2 linked regions of the Arabidopsis thaliana genome follow. The protein of the gene in region 2 purifies or fractionates together with the protein of the main gene of each other region. This does not show direct contact. Each region holds a gene or a part of one and is shown on either strand. Other genes may lie near its edges. The genes, in order: PHT3;1 and IDH2.

Region 1 (10,847 bases), on a different chromosome or scaffold from region 2:
TAAAGTTAGCATGTTATTAGTATAAGCGGAGCAGAAGAGTAAGTTTGTTATGCTACTAAAAGAAAGAAGACTAGGTTTGTTAAAAGGGATGTGACTGGTCAGGTGTTTAATTGGATTTTGAGTCTGTTACAAACAACATATAGAAGAATGTGTACTAAGTAGCTTATAAACTTCTTTAACGCCTTTATATGGAACATTTCTTAGATAGCTTTTAAGGTGTTTTGTTTTTTGCTTCAGAAACCTGTATAAATTAAAAAAATGAGGAATAATTTTGTTTATAAGATGCTTCGAAAACCTGGATACTACTATTACTTATAAGATGCTTTTAACAAAATTTGTAGGTATCATATGTATTAACCTACTAGGCATTTGAAAGCCGGTCCTATAGCTCTTTCGCTTTATGAATACTTAGAAACAATTTTGCACAGACAAAAAGAATTATTGAAAATACTACATGAAAAAAAAAAAAGAGAAACGATGGTTTGGGTCTTAACTTTTTCAAGTTAAACAAATTTGACTTTGTTTTTAGACCAAGTAGTCAAATAAGTTGTGATAAGTTTATTTTTCCGGGTTGGAATAGTGCAGCTTTTGCCATGTTTATCAAGAGTTCAAGACGGGATTATACAACAATCAGACTAGAGTTAAAAGAGATAATCAATAAAGCACGCACAACTTTCACACTATGTTAATTTAGGGCATGACTGGTTTAAACGCAGTGGGTGCGGTTGCGGTTGCGTTATCAAGCGTTTTGAACGACTGGTTGAGCGTTTGATAATGGATGCGTTTGCGAAAATTTTATGACTGGTAAACCAGCGGGTACGATAGTAATTAAATAAAAATAACCAAAATAAATATAATATATTACTATTAAAAGAAATAAAAATACAATATATTATGATAAACTGATAATATTAGAAAAATTGATTTTTTGACCAAACAAAAATACAATATATCATCTCGTCCGGCCAAATGATTTTCTAATCGAGAAAACAAATCGAAAAATGTATTCAATCAAAAAACTCAAAACAATACAAAATAAAATAAAAACAACGATGCCATGAAATAGTAAAAGAATTACACTAGCTAATGAATGAATAAAAGGATAGATGATACTTATGTTTGATTCTTGATTTTGATTTTCATCGGATGCCATAATTGAGAGAATAGAGTTACAATATATTGATTAGGGTTTTCTAATAAAAATAAGATATATAAAAGATTAGATTATTTTAATTATAGTGATTAGGGTTTGGGTGGAAGCCACAATTATTTTAATTAATTAAAAAAAGATTATTCTTTTTAACCTAACCGCTACCGCCCGCAACCGCAAACGCTTGCGGAAAGGAGCTTTTGAAAACTGGCGATTTCGAGCGGTTTAAAGCGATATCTAGCGGTTTTTATGATTGGTGTCAATCGCTAACAACCGCTACCAACCGCAAACGCAGCGTTTGCGGGTGGTAGAGGGAGAACCAATCAAGTCCTTAGTCCCTCAATCGTCGTCGCTCAAAATTACTGGTTTGACAACAGATGGTTGGTTGTTAGAGCCTTTAGACGAATGGAATCCAATTGCAAGGGTACATCTGTTAATTGGGATCAAACTGTTAAGTAACTTAGTTGGGCAACAAAGCCCGTCTAGCTCAGTTGGTAGAGCGCAAGGCTCTTAACCTTGTGGTCGTGGGTTCGAGCCCCACGGTGGGCGACGTTGTTTTTTTTATCATATGTTTATTAATCATTTGCCTACATAATATTTTCCTTATGTTAGCGCTTAGCGGTTAAACGTATACATATGATTAGTATTCAAGATCTATCTATGATTTGATGTTTTAAAACGAGATTTTATATAATCTCTAAAACAAAAAAGTAAAATAATAGATAGAGCAACCAAAAGAGAATTTCAACTGAAACTGAATAAAAAGTAGTGAGTGGGTGTATGCCCACTCTCTCTATCTTGGAGTGTGTCCCTCTCATCTTTTAAGATTACATCACACAAAGAAAAAAAGGACAAGAAACAATAGGAAGAGAGTATGTAAAGAGAGAGAGAGCACTATCCTGAATTCAGGAACACAAATTTCAAAAAAAACAAAAATGATAAAGTTCAAATCAGGAAGAAATTGAGCTTACTCACTCTTCCTCATCACCGTATGGTTTCTCTTATTTTTCCAAACAAAAATCCTACCCCATCGAACTCCTAATAACCTTTTTCGTCATTGTTTAGGCTTTGGCTTCAGTAGCTGCGATGGCAGGAGCTGGAGCAACACCACCAGTGGTTGGCCTGAATACCAAATCAAAAGAATTGAGAGTTTTGCATTTTGAAGGTACAATTAAGGTACGAAAGTAAGTGAAGAGAGAGAGGAACTTACAGGCCAACAAACACTTTGAAGGCATCGTATAATCCCCACTGTGCTCCAGTCAACGTCCCGATCATCACAATTCTAAGAGGAAGCCCTCTTGTGAACAGTCCCACCATACCAATCTTCTTCACCGCCTGCAACATGTCATTTACAAACATTAAATATTATTTCTACCGTAACAGAAATCAATAGCTTGTATACAACTACCAAACCACAGCCATTCTAGCATTAGGCTATTGTATTCAAACATAGTGACTTACATCTCCAACGGTTGCTCCCTTAGCGTTGTTGAGGAATGACACTAGATTGTCTGCTGGATGAGAAACGATGGCACAGAACACTCCGGCAACGTAACCTCCGGCAAAACTCACTCCGAGTTGCAGACCTTTGCTGCACTCACTCTTTGGGTTGGGGATTGCGTACTTGTAAATCATCTCAACAATGGTCTCAAAGGAAGCAAACTTCATCATAGTGTCTGTAAAATTCATAGATATCATCACCACCTTTTGCTTTTAAAGAACTACATATGTTTCATCAATAAACAAAAAAAAAAAAAAAAAAAGATTGTGCAACAGGTTGCAAAATAGAGGCCAGAACTTACAAGGAATCTGACGTCCCCAGAGTGGAGCAAGACCCTTATACAAGCTGCAAAAAAATCAGAAATCAGACCAAAAGGCTAGCAGTAACAAGGGAGATAATGTTATTGGTATTGAAAAACTCACCCTCCGTATCCTTCGGACTTGATAAACTTGGGAAATCCATCAGACATCCCCCTAGCAAATCCAGGCTGTGTCTGAACACGAACCTTCACAGCTTCAAATGGGCAAAGTGCAATATCGGCAATGATCTCAGCAGAAGCAGAACCAGCAAGGTAGATGAGAGTCTTGTATTTGGCAGTGTACTCAGGTCCAGCAAGGTCAGAGTAAGTCTTCTTAAAGTACTCGTAGAATCCAAACTTGCAGGCACCCTGAGCACTGTAACCCAAAAGAGTAGGAACCCATCCACGGAAAAAGCCTTTGACTCCTTGCTCTTTCAGCAAAATTCCAAAACCAGACGAGATGCTCTTGTACTTCGCTGGATCAATCTGGATAACAAGATATATCAGTTTTGCAAGACCAAGTGAACCATTCAACACATAACACGTCAAGTAACAATATTTCGAAAGAAGAACCAGAAATCAGACCATATTAACGTATATTGAAATAGAATGATTCATATATAACATGGAAATGGATAGACGAAGATGCGTTTATCAGAGATCAAACAATTCTTCAGATATTGAAATCAAACACAAAACCAATAGTCAGGAAAACAACAAAGCGATAAAGAAAATCAAATCACAGATCTAGCAACACAGATCTCACTACCTAAACAACACAGGAACACAGATCCACAAACATGAGCTCAGAAAACAAACGAAAGACAACGGATCTAAAGGTTACATACCTGCATATTGCACTTGACGAGATCGAGAGGAGTCACGGTCATGTGAGTAAGACCACAGCTGAGAATTCCACCAAAGGTACAAGCAGCGTAGAAGGCAGGTGAATACATCTCGATCCCCTTCCCTGGCTCGGTGGGAGATGCAATAAGGAAATTCTTCCGAGAAATCATCGACGTAGGAGAGGAACGCGGGGCCGGAGAAGGAGATTTCTCGAATGCAGCGTTGGAGTTGGAATTGAGCACCTGGTCGAGGAGGAAAGATCTCGGAGATGAAGATGATGAATAGAGGAAGCTCGGGATCAGAGAATTCTTCGGAGATTCCATGGCGGCGGCGGAGGAAGGAGATGGAGATAGCGTTTGAAATGAGAGACGGAGGCGATGTTTGATTCCCGATCTCACTCACGCTTTGCCAAAACCAAAAGCACCAATGAGGTATTAACTCTCGAAACTCGGGCTTTATTGGGCAAATGGAATCTGATGGAACAAGGCATATACTTTGCGATAATTACGAAAGTGACATTGTTATTTTACCTGTCTTGGCCCATGGGCTTTTTCAAGAGACATAAGACCCGTTGACCCATTAAAGGGCTGTATTAACGACAAGTTCCAATTTTTATTTGTTTATCTTTTGTTGGAAAATGAAATTCTAAAACCCTAAAAAATCCAACCAGAAGGGTAGAAGCTCTCTCGCCGACAATTACCGGCTACAAGGTTTCTCTGCTCGTCAACGTTGTAAGTTATTTCTTCATTGTAATCAAATTTGTGCATGAATTAGGTCAAATTAGTAGCTTTTGTAGTAATTCTTCCCGAAATGAGAGCTTAATTACGGATTGATAACGAGCTTGCGAATCTTATCGTTGTTTGTTTCATGCAGCTCTGAATTAGTGGTATTGAAAGATGAGCTTATCTCAGAATGCTCCGAAAAGTAAGGGTATTAAAAGAGAGGAGCTCAAGAAACAGTACGAAGATGTTGAAGATGAGGAAGAGATTGGGTCCGATGATGATCTCACTAGGGGAAAGAGAAGAAAGACAGAGAAGGAGAAGCAGAAGCTAGAAGAATCGGAACTGGTTGAAATGAAAAAGCTTGAGAATTTGATATTCGGGTCACTCTACTCTCCTGTTACGTTTGGTAAGGAAGAAGAAGAAGATGGTTCGGCTTTGTTTCATGTAGACCGTTCTGCTGTGAGGCAGATTCCTGACTACGAGGATGATGGTGATGATGATGAAGAGCTTTCTGATGAAGAGAATGGTCAAGTTGTGGCAATTAGAAAGGGAGAAGCTGCCTGGGAGGATGAAGAAGAGAAACAGATAAACGTTGATATAGCTAGTGTCAACCGTCTAAGGAAGCTAAGGAAAGAGGAGAATGAGGGTTTGATCTCTGGGTCTGAGTACATTGCAAGGCTGAGGGCTCATCATGCTAAGCTAAACCCGGGGACTGATTGGGCTCGGCCAGATTCTCAAATAGTTGATGGAGAGTCTTCAGATGATGATGATACTCAGGATGGAGGAGTTGATGATATCCTTCGAACGAATGAAGATCTTGTGGTGAAGTCTCGTGGTAACAAGCTGTGTGCTGGTCGTCTTGAATACTCTAAGCTTGTGGATGCCAATGCAGCGGATCCTTCAAATGGTCCAATAAACTCTGTCCACTTCCATCAGAACGCTCAGCTGCTTCTCACTGCTGGATTGGATCGACGGTTAAGGTTTTTCCAGATTGATGGAAAGAGGAACACCAAGATCCAGAGCATTTTTCTTGAGGACTGTCCCATTCGTAAAGCGGCTTTCTTGCCCAATGGCTCTCAGGTCATTGTCTCCGGAAGAAGAAAGTTCTTTTACAGCTTTGATTTGGAGAAGGCAAAGTTTGACAAAATTGGCCCTTTGGTTGGTAGAGAGGAGAAAAGCTTGGAATATTTCGAGGTGTCACAAGACTCTAACACCATAGCTTTTGTTGGCAACGAAGGTTATATCTTACTTGTGTCTACAAAAACAAAAGAGCTGATAGGAACCCTAAAGATGAATGGTTCAGTTAGGTCTTTAGCATTTAGTGAAGATGGGAAGCATTTGCTGAGCTCAGGAGGTGACGGGCAAGTCTATGTCTGGGATCTGAGAACAATGAAATGCTTATACAAAGGCGTGGATGAAGGCAGCACTTGTGGCACTTCTCTTTGCAGTTCGCTTAACGGAGCATTGTTTGCTTCTGGAACCGACAGAGGAATCGTAAACATTTACAAGAAATCTGAGTTTGTGGGAGGCAAAAGAAAGCCGATAAAGACAGTGGACAATCTCACATCCAAGATAGATTTCATGAAGTTCAACCATGATGCTCAGATTCTAGCTATAGTCTCTACAATGAACAAAAACAGTGTAAAGCTAGTCCATGTTCCATCCCTAACCGTCTTCTCAAACTGGCCGCCACCAAACAGCACAATGCATTACCCTCGCTGCCTAGACTTCAGCCCCGGAAGTGGCTTCATGGCTATGGGGAACGCTGCCGGAAAAGTTTTGCTGTATAAACTCCATCATTACCAGAATGCTTGAAGTGGTCTTTAACAAGGGCAGTTTTGGGATTGTTGTGTTTCCTCTTTTTTTGTCGCAAGTACTCTTTATGTTATCAATTTTCCTATCCAATTATCGATCAATGAAAAATTTTCTTTCTGATTCTTGGGATTGAGTGGGCCAAGTTTTGTTTTCTCACGATTTTGACAGCATCAACCACTTATTTGGTACTATCATCTAAAAATAAAAATGCAGGAGAAAAAGAAAGATGTCAACATTATTTCATGGATTAACACAAAGTACAAATTTTAGTAGAGTGGCTTACTAATAGCTGAAAGGGTATCTCGACCCAGAGATTGAATCTGAACCGTCCATTCTGGGAAGGGCAAACAAAACAGTGTTTGTGTCTCACGTTCTCTTCCTTCTCTAATAGAGTCTTAAGCCGCTTTTTCACTCCTTAAACCCAAAAAAAAACATTAGTACTATTTCCTTCGGAGCCTGGCCGGCGAATCCGACAGGTCGTTTCAGCTGTGTCCGAAGGAAAGTTCCAATTTTTATCTGTTTTTCTTCACGGAAATCCAGTTAAGGTAATTGTCTACATTTCTCGATTTACTTTGGTTTCTCTGGGTTTTGCTGTTTTCTTTTCTAATTTCTCGAATGATTCATCATTTCTTGCATTTGGGGTGATGAAGAAGCACAAGTTTACACATTTTCTGGTTTATATGCTTCACAAGTGCTTCTCTTATGATGTTGTTTATTAGTATTGGTTGTTTGATTTCACTGAAAATTAGTCAGTCAACTTACAGTGTATTAATTGGTTCAATAAATTTTTCATAATTCATTTCTTAACATGATTTTACCTCATTCATTATATTTATAGATTTAGATCCCTTGATAATGATCTGATATTCTTTCTGTGAATTTGAAAGTTGCAGGTTTCCACATTGCACAGCTGTACCATTTGTCGAGATCACAACACGCAAGTCTCTTAGATTTAGCAAGCTTATGGCTTCATTGCAGTTGTACGGAGTTAAAACTCCAGGGCTTGCTTTAAGTTCAAAGAGGCTTGAGTTTGCTTCAAAGGGGGCATGTTTTTCAGTTACGTTGCCCTCAAGTAGTGCTGTCTTTAGAGACGTAGAGCATTCTTGTAGGAATATAGGTTTGAGAGTTAGTTGTGAAGCTCTAAGAGTCGATTTGCTTCAAAGAAAAGAGCCTGAGACGTGCGATTCAAGCGGAACTGGCAAAGAGTTGACATGTGTAATGAAATTTGGCGGTTCATCAGTGGAATCAGCAGAGAGGATGAAAGAAGTTGCCAATCTTATACTCAGCTTTCCAGATGAGAGGCCCGTCATTGTGCTATCAGCAATGGGAAAGACGACTAATAAGCTTTTGAAGGTAATACAACTATACTAATCTTTTCTACGTCTTCCTTATGACGTTTTTGTTATCGGTAGAGTGATTATTTTCTTGGTTTTCCGCTTTTGTTAGGCTGGAGAGAAGGCTGTTACTTGCGGTGTCACTAACGTAGAAAGTATTGAAGAATTGAGCTTTATAAAGGAACTCCATTTAAGGTTAAAGAAAACAATGTTATCTCATGTGTATTTGATTGTTATCTAGTGTTCACAGTCCAAATTTAGCCTTATTCTCATGGGAAATAAAATTCTCTATGTTCAGAACTGCTCATGAGCTTGGAGTGGAAACAACGGTTATTGAAAGTAAGTACCTTGGTTCTCGTTCTCCTATTGTAGTTTCAGAATTTTGCTTTGCTCATTCAGTTGAGTTTTTCTTATCTGAATCCGTTTTTCTGGTTAATTTATTTGTAGAACACCTAGAAGGACTACACCAGCTTCTCAAAGGCATATCAATGATGAAAGAGCTAACCTTACGCACAAGGGACTACTTGGTTTCATTTGGAGAGTGCATGTCCACAAGGCTTTTCTCTGCGTATCTCAATAAAATTGGCCACAAAGCGCGTCAAGTATGTTGCTTTATAACACTCTGGTCCTAGCATAACCTTGGCCCTGCATATAATTGCTGCATTCATCATACAGATTACAGAAACTTGAGAGTGTGTCAATGCTCACAAGTATGTACTCTAACATGAGTTTAGTTCATTACTTGATGAGTTGTTTGCTTGTTGTTGGCAGTATGATGCATTTGAGATCGGATTTATCACCACAGACGACTTTACTAATGCTGATATACTTGAAGCAACATACCCTGCCGTCTCAAAAACACTTGTTGGCGACTGGAGCAAGGAAAATGCAGTCCCTGTTGTTACTGGCTACCTCGGAAAGGTTTATATTTTTCTGACTTTTTATGTTGTTCTCGTGGATCAAGAAATATGTGGTGCTCAACTCGGGTTCTCATCTATTCTATAAATTGGAATGGGTTCTGCACAAGAGTTGTTTTGCTTATTGTATCAATTTTGAAAACAAAACTTCATTCTCGTATGCATGTGTTTCTGCAGGGATGGAGGTCTTGTGCTATCACTACGCTGGGTAGGGGTGGCAGTGATTTGACAGCTACAACGATTGGGAAAGCGCTAGGACTGCGGGAAATTCAGGTATTTGATGGCTTTGGCCAAGATTGCATCATGTAGATGAAATTTTGTTAAACAATGATTTTTTAATATAGGTTTGGAAAGATGTGGATGGAGTTTTGACTTGTGATCCTAACATATATCCTGGAGCTCAATCTGTTCCGTACTTAACGTTCGATGAGGCAGCTGAGCTTGCTTACTTTGGTGCCCAGGTAATCTCGTAGATTAGCTATGCACTATGCTGATGAGTTCTTTTCTGTCAGATGGCTGAGCATATTCCTCTTCCATTGCAGGTGTTGCATCCACTGTCTATGAGGCCAGCAAGAGATGGCGACATTCCTGTGAGGGTTAAGAACTCGTACAACCCCACTGCTCCAGGAACTGTCATCACCAGATCAAGAGACATGAGTAAGGTTCGTGAAACAGATGTGTTTTTTTAACTCCTTATATCAAAATATCAATGACCTTTTCCTCCTTTAATTCCTTGTAGGCTGTGCTAACCAGCATTGTTCTGAAACGTAATGTGACCATGTTGGACATAGCAAGCACCCGTATGCTTGGCCAATATGGTTTCCTTGCCAAGGTAATATAATTGGATAATGATATCTTTATTCGACTTTGTTTAATATCTCACTGGAAGCATACTCACTGTCTCGTGTGCAGGTGTTTACCACATTTGAAGATTTAGGTATATCGGTTGATGTTGTGGCAACAAGTGAAGTTAGTATATCATTGACATTGGATCCAGCAAAGCTCTGGGGTAGAGAGTTAATTCAGCGAGTAAATGTAATACTCCTTTGACTTTGATAGATTGTTTCTTTTGTGAGGGTCATATGTGGTATTGGTTAAAGGGACTGGGTGTGAACAGGAACTGGATAATTTGGTGGAAGAGCTAGAGAAGATTGCTGTTGTGAAACTACTTCAACGCAGATCAATCATCTCTCTCATAGGAAATGTTCAGAAATCCTCACTCATATTAGAGAAGGTGAGTGAGAGTAACATGTCTTGTGTTCTCTTTTGAATTTTGAAGTTTTAATTTAGTGGGAATGGAATGAATGACAAAACAGGTGTTCCAAGTATTTAGAAGCAATGGAGTGAATGTGCAGATGATCTCGCAGGGTGCATCTAAGGTTAGATGGAATCCGCTGCTACATGATAGTGAATGAATATGGTTTACTTATGGTTATAGTGAATGGGGATATGTGTGTGTGTGTGTGTGTGTTTCAGGTAAACATCTCATTGATAGTGAATGATGAAGAGGCAGAGCAATGTGTGAGGGCTCTCCACTCCGCCTTCTTTGAGACCGATCCTTAGTGCAACACAGAGCACCCATCTCTCTCCTTCAACTCTGCTTCTGTGCGTAGTTTAATGCTAAGAATGTGTCAAGACTTGGAACTATTTCAAATTCTTGTCCATTGTTGTTGTTGTTGTTGTTGTTGTTGTGATACAATACATCATAATTTGAGCCAAAGCCTATAATCTTTTAATTTAAAGAGTACATAGACAAGCTCAAAAAGAAATAAAGAAATAACCAGTGTGTTGAGTAGGGATTCAGATTTAAAGCTTAGTTTTTAGGATTTAAGATTTGGTTTTATGACATAAGGTTTACAATTATTAGTCAATGGTAATTATACTATTTTGTTCACAAGAATTAAGATATAAATTAGTTTCTTCATTTTGACATCAGTATATTTTCATAATTTCTTCTTGTCAACAAAAGAAGAAAAAAGAAAAAGAAAAACAAATTCAGTATAGAAGAGAAAGTGAGCATTGAAGGAGCAGGCTTAGGCCAACTCCAATGGGACTCTAAAACACCATTTTAGTGTAATTTTTGCACTAAAAGCTCTCCAATGGAACTCTAAAATTCACACCATTTTAGTGTAATGCTACAGTGTTACATCAAATTTGGTGTGATACTATTCACAACTCTAAACACTATTCACTTATTATATCAATAAAAATTCAATTAACAAATATAAAATTACAAATGATTAATAGATATAAAATATAAAAAT
Region 2 (9,972 bases):
CTTTTCATATTTGGTTAAGATTTAAAACTGTAAATCTCCATTCATCTTTGTTTGATTTTTTCAACTGTTTTAAATCATCCTATAATATATAAAGTTATGAAAAACTCAATCTTTTTCTCCCTATATTGTGATTCAAAATTAAAAAAACGGACATATATTACCCAATTAATGGAAATGATGTGTGTTCAATGTCCCACATCGACTAAAATATTCAGATAATGATTTAGAATAATATTATATATATGATTAAAATAAATTCAAATTCGAATGTATAGGAAAGCTTACCTTAACAAGCATCCAAATTTAAAATTTTGTATATGATTTAATTCAGTCTTTAGTTTTATTGTTTAGTTTTACCGAGAATATTAAAATTTTCTAATATCAATAAAAGGTTTTATAACATTATAAACATTTGAACAAATAAAAATAAAATAAATAACATGGGACAAATTGTATTGTGGTATACAGTTATATGGTGAGATGAATTTTTGAATCAACATTAATAAAATTTAGAATATCATCAATCTGCCGCTTTATTATTTTTAATACTACCAATATTAGAAATATCTAAACAACCTAATTAAGATAAGATTGTATATACCAAAAATTTCTCTGTGATATACAGTTACTTAATAACAATCGTATATTATAAAATATAAATTTCTTAGAAAATTTTACAATTTGCAAACTTATGTATATAATAAATAGTCATCAATTTTTAAACTACTATTTTTAGAAAACAAATCATGAGATGTGTTATATTACAGAACAAAGTTATATGATGGACGGGTTTGAATCAATATTTATAAATTTTTTGAAATCATTAATATGTTGTTTCAATACGGGTTAAATTCTCAGTTTATTAACAATTGTTATGTGGACTTGTGATATATTTTTACTTAATAACGATTATAAACTAAAATAGAAATATTTTATAACTAAATATAATTTATAAAATTTTATATATACAAATTTTAAAATATAAATTGTCTTGCAGTTTACAGCTAATTAAAATTTAGTTGTGATATTATATCCAATTATCCATATAACTACACTTTTTTCTCCACAATTAGGGCGTGACAAATGGCAACACTTCAATCAAGGAACAGAACACAATGTGAAACCAGACTGTTCTCATTTATTTTCCAGCAAGTCAAAAAGTCAAACTCAAAAAGTCCTCTCTCGGTCAACTTTCTTCTTGGTCCCCATCTTCACAAATCACAACTCTTTTTATTTCCAAAGACCAAAAACCTGAGAACACACCGGCGACCTGAAAATGGAAACTTCCTGTTTTACCCTTCTCGGTCTCCTTGTCTCCCTCTCCTTCTTCCTCACTCTCTCCGCCCAAATGACCGGAAACTTCAACTGCAGTGGCTCAACCTCGACGTGTCAATCTCTCGTTGGTTACTCAAGCAAGAACGCAACAACGTTGCGCAATATCCAAACCCTTTTTGCCGTCAAGAACCTCCGCTCGATCCTCGGAGCTAACAATCTCCCACTCAACACCTCACGTGACCAACGCGTGAACCCGAATCAAGTCGTACGTGTCCCAATCCATTGCTCTTGCTCCAATGGAACCGGTGTCTCGAACCGGGACATCGAATACACCATCAAGAAAGACGACATACTCTCTTTCGTCGCAACTGAGATTTTCGGTGGTCTCGTTACGTACGAGAAGATCAGTGAGGTTAACAAAATCCCTGACCCGAACAAAATCGAAATCGGTCAAAAGTTTTGGATCCCTTTGCCTTGTAGCTGTGATAAATTGAACGGTGAGGATGTTGTTCACTACGCACATGTAGTCAAACTAGGGAGCTCTCTCGGTGAGATCGCTGCTCAGTTTGGAACGGACAACACGACGTTGGCTCAGCTCAATGGAATCATTGGTGACTCTCAGCTTCTTGCTGATAAACCTCTCGACGTCCCTCTCAAAGGTTAAAAACCTGAAATTTTGGATCTTTTGAGTTGAAAGTTTGTGACTTTAGTAGTTTTATTGGATATATCTAAATGGGTTTGGATTGGATGATGGTTTAGATGAAATAAACGAAAAAATTTGATTGAAAAGTCTTTGACTTTTAGTAGTTTCATTGGACAAACCAAATCTAATTAGGTTTGAGTTTTTATTACTAATTGGTGATTGGCTTTGAAGAAAAGTTATGAACTTTGAACTTTATTTTGCAGCTTGTAGCTCTTCTGTGAGGAAGGACTCGTTGGATGCTCCTCTGCTTCTGTCTAACAACTCATACGTCTTCACTGCAAACAATTGCGTCAAGTGTACTTGTGACGCTTTGAAGAATTGGACGTTAAGTGATTGATAATCTCGTTGTGTTTGTCCCATAGGATAAGCTTGTTCTTTTTTCTTCTTTTTCTAGATTCTGATGGTTTTGGTTTTGTATCTTGTGATCAGTTTAAGCTGTCAATCATCATCTGAGATTAAGCCTTCGAACTGGCAAACCTGCCCACCATTTTCACAATGTGATGGAGCTTTGCTTAACGCCTCTTGCAGACAACCTCGTGATTGCGTCTATGCTGGTTACTCCAACCAAACCATCTTCACCACAGCTTCCCCAGCTTGTCCAGGTTTGTTTGATCCAAGTTTCTGCGCATTTGGTTATAGTGTAGTGTAATTAAGTGACTTAATAACCTGGTTACTCTCTGATATGAACAGATTCTGCTGGTCCTGATAACTATGCATCAACGCTCAGCTCAAGCTTCAATTTCGTGATTGTGTTGATTCAGTGTGCTCTGCTTTGTCTCTGCCTTCTCTAGTAATGTTTTGTTGTGTGTTTATGAGTGTGTATCTAAGTACAGTTCGGATTAAAATAAAGACATTGTTTCACCTGAAGCATCACGTCCTTGTACCATTTTTATATTGGAAACATTTCAGCTTTTGACACATTTTGTTACCAACTAAACAATACAAAACTTTGACATGAAGTTAAACATAATTTTCATTATTCAAAAAATAATGCTCTGAGGCAGTTTTCACTTTGCACTTTGCATATTACATGAACAAAAAGAAGAAAAACAAAACAAAAAACCATATGTTATTTTTCTCGAAATCTGAAATCCCAATTCGAGTTATCTCGAAAGAATGTGGGAACTAGAAGTATTTTCCAGTAAGCGTGAATCATACCGACGTGTGACTGATGCTTTACACAAGCGAAGTTGGAATTGTCAAGTCAATCCAAATTTGCAATGACAGCGTCAACGACCTCTTGAGTGGTACTGTTTCCACCAAGATCTTCAGTCCGACAATTCCCTTCAGCGATAACACGCTTCACAGCGGTTTCAAGCCTGTCAGCAAAAGAAGGGAACTGAAGGTGTCTAAGCATCATGGCTGATGACAGCAACAAAGCCACAGGGTTTGCATTCTTTTGCTCTTCCGTTGTATCCTTCCCCACGTTTCCCGCTGATGCACCTTGCTCAAAGACCGCATACTCCGCCCCAACATTTCCTACAGAAAATTTCATAGCATAAGCAAGAGAATCTACTTCTCTATAGTGCTTGTACATTAGATCAAGGTAAAATGAATTTTATTATTACCTCCAGGCATGACTCCAGTACCTCCAGCAATACCAGCAGCAGTGTTTGCCACTAGATTACCATAGAGATTAGGCGTCACCTGCAAAGCAGATACAAGTAAATAAACCAAAATAGAAGGAAGCTAGCCCAAGCATCAACAAGTGCTGAAAAACATTTACCATGACATCGAATTGCTCTGGTCTAGCCACAAGTTGCATACAACAATTATCAACAATGATTTCATTGTAAGCAATGCTTGGATACTTCTTAGCAACCTCTTGACAAGACTCCAAGAACAAACCATCAGCCAATTTCATGATATTAGCCTTGTGCACTGCTGTAACTTTCTTCCTGTTGTTCAAGTAGGCATACTCAAACGCATACTTTGCAATACGCTCTGAACAGAACTTTGTAATCACCTACCAAAACATTAGCATCAGAGACATCTTTGATATAACATGAACATCTCCAACTTTCACATCTACTACCAAATCACTATGAATCAAATCACATTTGTAACCAAAACAATCAACAAAAACTGAGAAATTGCACCTTAAGGCTCTCAACAACACCAGGAACAACTTCATGTTCAAGACCTGCATATTCACCTTCAGTGTTCTCTCTAATCACAACAATATCAACATTCTCATGACGAGAAGCTAAACCAGGCAAATTGAAACAGTTGACCAAAGAAGCAAAGAGATCAAGCTCCTTTCTCAGATTAACATTGAGAGAGCTCACACCACCACCGACGGGAGTCTTAAGACCACCTTTCAAACAAACTTTGTTCTTCTTAATCGATTCCAACAATCCTTCAGGTAAACTCTTCATATCTCCATGAACTTCGAACGGTTCGAAGTAAACCGGAGCGTGCATCGCTTCCATCACTTGTTGAACCGCGTTTGTTACCAACGGACCAACTCCGTCTCCGGGGATTAACGTCACTGGTCTTGGTTTTCCGTCACCGGGTCTGGGCATGTAAGTCACGGATCGGGTCTGGATTTTGGAACCGGAAGCGATGCTACGAAGATTCTTCAGTAGAGAAAACGATTGGCGAGACATCTTCTTCTGCAATTTTGATCGGAATCAGATTCTTCTGAAAATGATCGTCAGAGGAAGAAGATGAAGAAGAGTTGCGACTTTTTGGAACGAAGAAAGAACAAGAAAAGCGTTTACTTTTAGTCTATAACTTTTATTGTTTACATAATAGCCCCAAATGTTTAACCGTTATTAATGTTTAGCCCGTTTATAATTTGAATTGTACATTAAGACCAAATTGGGTAAAACCATGTTCTGTTATTAACATAATAGTCCTCGATTTCTTAACATTATACGTTTTAGTCCGTATGTAATTTAGTATTTTGCTTATAAGACCAATTTGGAAAAATTGAATTTTTGAGTTCTGTAGTAGTTCTATGGAACAATCTCTTGTGAAGGCTTTGTTGAAGAACACGAACAATCCGAGATTAGCATGGAGAATCTTCAAGAGGATATTCTCTTCTCCTTCAGAAGAAAGCCATGGCATTTCTTTAGATGCGACTCCTACAATCGCTCGTATCCTGGTTCGAGCCAAAATGCACGAAGAAATCCAAGAGCTTCACAATCTTATACTCTCTTCTTCAATCCAAAAGACGAAACTTTCGTCTCTTCTCTCTGTTGTATCCATCTTCGCGAAATCGAATCACATTGATAAGGCGTTTCCGCAGTTTCAGTTAGTACGGTCGCGGTTTCCTGAGAACAAACCTAGCGTTTATCTGTATAATTTGTTGCTTGAAAGTTGCATAAAGGAACGACGTGTGGAGTTCGTTTCGTGGTTGTATAAAGATATGGTTTTGTGTGGGATTGCTCCACAGACTTATACTTTTAATCTCTTGATACGTGCTTTGTGTGATTCAAGTTGTGTTGATGCTGCTCGAGAGTTGTTCGACGAAATGCCTGAGAAAGGTTGTAAGCCAAATGAGTTTACTTTTGGGATTTTGGTTCGTGGGTATTGTAAAGCTGGTTTGACTGATAAAGGGCTTGAATTGTTGAATGCAATGGAAAGTTTTGGGGTTTTGCCTAATAAAGTTATCTATAACACCATTGTTTCGAGCTTCTGTAGAGAAGGTAGGAATGATGATTCTGAAAAGATGGTGGAGAAGATGCGGGAGGAAGGTTTGGTGCCTGATATTGTCACTTTTAACTCTAGGATATCAGCGCTTTGTAAAGAAGGAAAGGTTTTGGATGCGTCTAGAATTTTCAGTGATATGGAGCTAGATGAGTATCTGGGTCTTCCTCGTCCCAATAGTATAACATATAACTTGATGTTGAAAGGTTTCTGTAAGGTAGGGTTGCTGGAAGATGCCAAGACCCTCTTTGAGTCGATTAGAGAAAATGATGATCTCGCTAGCTTGCAGAGTTACAATATTTGGCTGCAGGGTTTGGTCAGACATGGGAAGTTTATAGAGGCTGAAACAGTCCTGAAGCAAATGACTGATAAGGGAATAGGACCAAGTATTTATTCTTACAATATCTTGATGGATGGATTGTGTAAATTGGGCATGCTATCCGATGCAAAAACTATTGTTGGTTTGATGAAAAGAAATGGTGTTTGCCCGGATGCTGTAACTTATGGCTGCCTTCTTCATGGTTATTGCAGTGTTGGGAAAGTCGATGCAGCTAAAAGCTTGTTGCAGGAGATGATGAGGAATAATTGTTTACCAAATGCTTATACTTGCAATATTTTGCTACATAGCCTTTGGAAGATGGGGAGAATATCTGAAGCGGAAGAGTTGCTGCGAAAGATGAATGAGAAAGGTTATGGACTAGACACTGTCACCTGCAACATTATCGTTGACGGACTCTGTGGAAGCGGGGAATTAGATAAAGCTATTGAGATAGTTAAGGGAATGCGGGTGCATGGAAGTGCTGCTCTTGGTAACTTAGGCAATTCATATATCGGACTGGTGGATGATAGCTTGATCGAGAACAACTGTTTGCCTGACCTGATCACGTATTCAACTTTACTTAATGGTTTGTGCAAAGCTGGAAGGTTTGCTGAAGCAAAAAATTTGTTTGCCGAGATGATGGGAGAGAAACTGCAACCGGACTCGGTCGCATATAACATTTTCATTCATCATTTCTGCAAACAGGGGAAAATATCATCTGCATTTCGCGTTCTCAAAGACATGGAGAAGAAAGGTTGTCATAAGAGCCTAGAGACTTATAACTCACTGATCCTGGGCTTAGGCATAAAAAACCAGATTTTTGAAATTCATGGACTGATGGATGAGATGAAAGAAAAGGGCATTTCACCAAATATATGCACCTACAATACTGCAATCCAGTATCTTTGTGAGGGAGAAAAAGTTGAAGATGCAACTAACCTCCTTGATGAAATGATGCAAAAGAACATAGCCCCAAATGTATTTTCCTTCAAATATTTGATTGAAGCGTTCTGTAAGGTCCCTGATTTTGATATGGCCCAAGAAGTCTTTGAGACTGCTGTAAGTATCTGTGGACAGAAAGAAGGCCTGTACAGCTTGATGTTCAATGAGTTGCTTGCTGCAGGGCAACTACTAAAGGCTACGGAGTTGCTCGAAGCTGTTTTAGATAGAGGTTTTGAGTTGGGGACTTTTCTTTATAAAGATCTTGTTGAGAGCTTATGTAAGAAGGATGAACTAGAAGTAGCTAGTGGAATTTTGCATAAGATGATAGACAGAGGATATGGATTTGACCCTGCAGCATTGATGCCTGTGATAGATGGCTTAGGTAAGATGGGAAACAAGAAAGAGGCAAACAGTTTTGCTGATAAGATGATGGAAATGGCTTCAGTTGGTGAAGTAGCAAACAAAGTCGATCCAAATGCAAGGGATATACACCAGAAAAAGCATAATAAGAATGGTGGAAACAACTGGCAGAATATATTACACAGGTATGGATGACACTTTCTCCTTCTGGTTTGTCATCATTTATTGTTTCTCCTGTTATAGGCGCCGTTTCAATATGTATTTTAAGATGCTTTTATTGGAGGTTTTGTAGTTCTGCTTTCTCCTTTTAAAGTTTGGTTTTTTGAGGAAAGAAAAAGATTCCAAGATTTGGAGTAAGCATTCGTGTATATGATTAGGCAGTAGAGTCTTTGGTTTCAAGTGAGTTTACATTAAGAATATCGGTTTAACTGTCTTGTCGGAAACCTAATGAATGTTTTCTCTATCAATCGCTATTTTGCAGAGATGACGGTAGTGGAATTGCGTTAAGGTCTCTGTCAAGAGTTAAAAAAGGATGGGGTCAAGGGGATATATCAAGCTTTCAGCCTCCAAGAGTTGACTACTTAGACTACTGGGAGGACGATGGTTAAGGATTTGCATGACTCTGTTTTCTTTCTGATGGGAAAGTTCAGATGGCGCAAGCAAGTTTTTGAGGTGCAGCTCATCAAGGATGACAGGTAAAGGTAAGAACGAATACTGTTGTAGACACGTCTGAAATACAACAGCCTTCTGATGTAGACACGTCTAATCTTTTGGACAAAAAAACAAAATTCTCGTTAAATCAAAAATCAATTTAAAGTAACGTAGAGTAGGACTTCACATCACTTTCTTCATTTTCTTCCTACTTTGGACAGTAGTATTTAATTTTATAATCAAATAATGATCTTGTGGCATACTCTTTTGATCATTGTCTCCATGCTCATGTGTAAGATGTTAGCCTTATAGTAGCTTGTGATGTACAAGGTTGAGAGATCTCTAACGAAGCTAAATATAACTCTCTGGTAAAAGTATCACGGATAATGTTGAGGAATCCAATCTATTTTTAATAACCTTCATGTTCAGTGGAAAAATATTTTAGAATTGGACCCTCACCTTCTGTTTTCCTGTCTTTGTAGCTAAGCTGGTAGAACCAGACAAGACGACATGGCTGGACAAATATATCCTTGTTAGAACGACGTTTAAACATAAGAGCTGCCTGCTTTCATAAAGAATTTGAGCCCAACTTTGAATTTTGGGTGGGAGGAACACAATCTACATTATTGGAGAAAATGTAAGCTTTCTTGTGCTTTCTGTCGGCACATTTTCTGGTTCTGGAACAGTAGGAGTTTGTAGTGGGGATACAAAGAGACTAAGTTTTATAAAACGTGGAAGACCACCAAGTGTTAGCTGCTTAATTGGAACTAGGTTTCTTCTTAAACATAGCCATACAGATTATTTTTTCCTGTTTTTACAATATCAGTTTTAAATGTTTAATCTCATAATCAATATCATGAAATGGATATTCTTGAATCCCGGCACATTATTTTCCATGTACATCAATGCAATCATGGACTAGATAGTATCCTGTAACCAGACATGTCCCAAAAATAAATAAGCGAAACACACAGAATTTTTCAATCGCCATAGTTCCAGTCTTGCAGAGTTTAAGAAACCAGACAATAAGATTGTACATGCATAAAATACAAGTCTATGGAATTCATCTCTTTTATACAAAAATCTGCTAGGGCAATACAGGAGACCAGTTACTACTGCCACTTCCAAAATGTTGTTCAGGGAACTGGAAATATGTTTATACAGGATTCCCATGCTGAAAAGGTAAGTGAGATTTCTACAAAAGCTAAAAAAATCAGTAGAATCTTCCTGGTGCTTTGCAGTTACAAAACTTCGTTTAATGTTTTTCAGGAAAGACCAGTGTTGCCAAAAGAACCACTTAGCTTGACTTGAGAAGCTTCGTTCAGACTTATTTTAATTGTGTGGGTCTGTGTTAATCTATATATGTCAATGCATTCCACGAGATCCGCTTCACATGTCAGAAGAACCCACTCCTTATCATCATCCAGGTACTTAAGGTCAAACCAGGAAATGTCATCTATGTTGAAACGCCTAGCAATCTCTTGCTTCAGCTCTGCGAAGCCCCAACTCGGGAGTAAGGTAAACCGTATTCTGGCCTCACCAAATGTCGCTTTCACTTTGATGGCACCTCTAGCTCTTAAACTCGTGTTGCTACTACCTGTTAATGGAGATGAATTATCAAGAACAAGAGGCTCCTTGAATGTTTTATGGCTCTGGGTTCTTGCAAGACATTTTGTTTCCTCCTGATTCACATTATGCAGTTGTGCTTCGCTATGAGCTCTCTTTAACACCGCATCAGCATCCTCAGCAACTAGAATGTTTCCAGTATTCTCATTATTGTTGCTTGAACCAGAGCTCTTGCTGCAAGAAGATGATGGTGACCTGGGGTTTTCCTCTGCCATAATACCATTATCGGTTTGAGCATTCAAATGACTTGGCTGTTCATTACTCTTCAAGGAAGGGCCATTGCTAGACATATTTGGGGAGTTCAACTCTGGGAAGCTTGTATAGAATGAATCGAGTTGGATAGAGCCCTGCGCACCTTGGACAGAGTCCATAACTAGTTGGAGTTTCTTCAACGAATGCCCAACCTTCTTGATTTTTCGGGAGGGCCATCGCATTATTCCAT

What was found.
Region 1: the proteins of IDH2 (region 2) and PHT3;1 purify together in Arabidopsis thaliana (affinity purification with mass spectrometry, with the first as the bait; one large-scale study listed by BioGRID). This does not show direct contact.

What each region holds. Positions count from the first base shown.
Region 1 is NC_003076.8:4,528,848-4,539,694, forward strand, and holds PHT3;1 (phosphate transporter 3;1), read right to left. Parts: upstream 4,273-10,847; 5' UTR 4,119-4,272; coding exon 3,798-4,118; intron 3,436-3,797; coding exon 3,074-3,435; intron 2,997-3,073; coding exon 2,953-2,996; intron 2,827-2,952; coding exon 2,612-2,826; intron 2,486-2,611; coding exon 2,361-2,485; intron 2,273-2,360; coding exon 2,212-2,272; 3' UTR 1,796-2,211; downstream 1-1,795. Other genes in the region: AT5G14050 (Transducin/WD40 repeat-like superfamily protein), read left to right, coding at 4,692-6,332; CARAB-AK-LYS (Aspartate kinase family protein), read left to right, coding at 7,296-7,685, 7,779-7,861, 7,965-8,005, 8,114-8,268, 8,438-8,587, 8,761-8,856, 8,928-9,044, 9,126-9,245 and 5 more. UniProt on the Arabidopsis thaliana protein: Transport of phosphate groups from the cytosol to the mitochondrial matrix. Mediates salt stress tolerance through an ATP-dependent pathway and via modulation of the gibberellin metabolism.
Region 2 is NC_003071.7:7,457,880-7,467,851, forward strand, and holds IDH2 (isocitrate dehydrogenase subunit 2), read right to left. Parts: upstream 4,729-9,972; 5' UTR 4,588-4,728; coding exon 4,078-4,587; intron 3,945-4,077; coding exon 3,705-3,944; intron 3,626-3,704; coding exon 3,547-3,625; intron 3,458-3,546; coding exon 3,183-3,457; 3' UTR 2,935-3,182; downstream 1-2,934. Other genes in the region: LYM2 (lysm domain GPI-anchored protein 2 precursor), read left to right, coding at 1,277-1,934, 2,182-2,302, 2,408-2,580, 2,669-2,769; AT2G17140 (Pentatricopeptide repeat (PPR) superfamily protein), read left to right, coding at 4,941-7,438, 7,735-7,861; AT2G17150 (Plant regulator RWP-RK family protein), read right to left, coding at 9,170-9,972. UniProt on the Arabidopsis thaliana protein: Performs an essential role in the oxidative function of the citric acid cycle.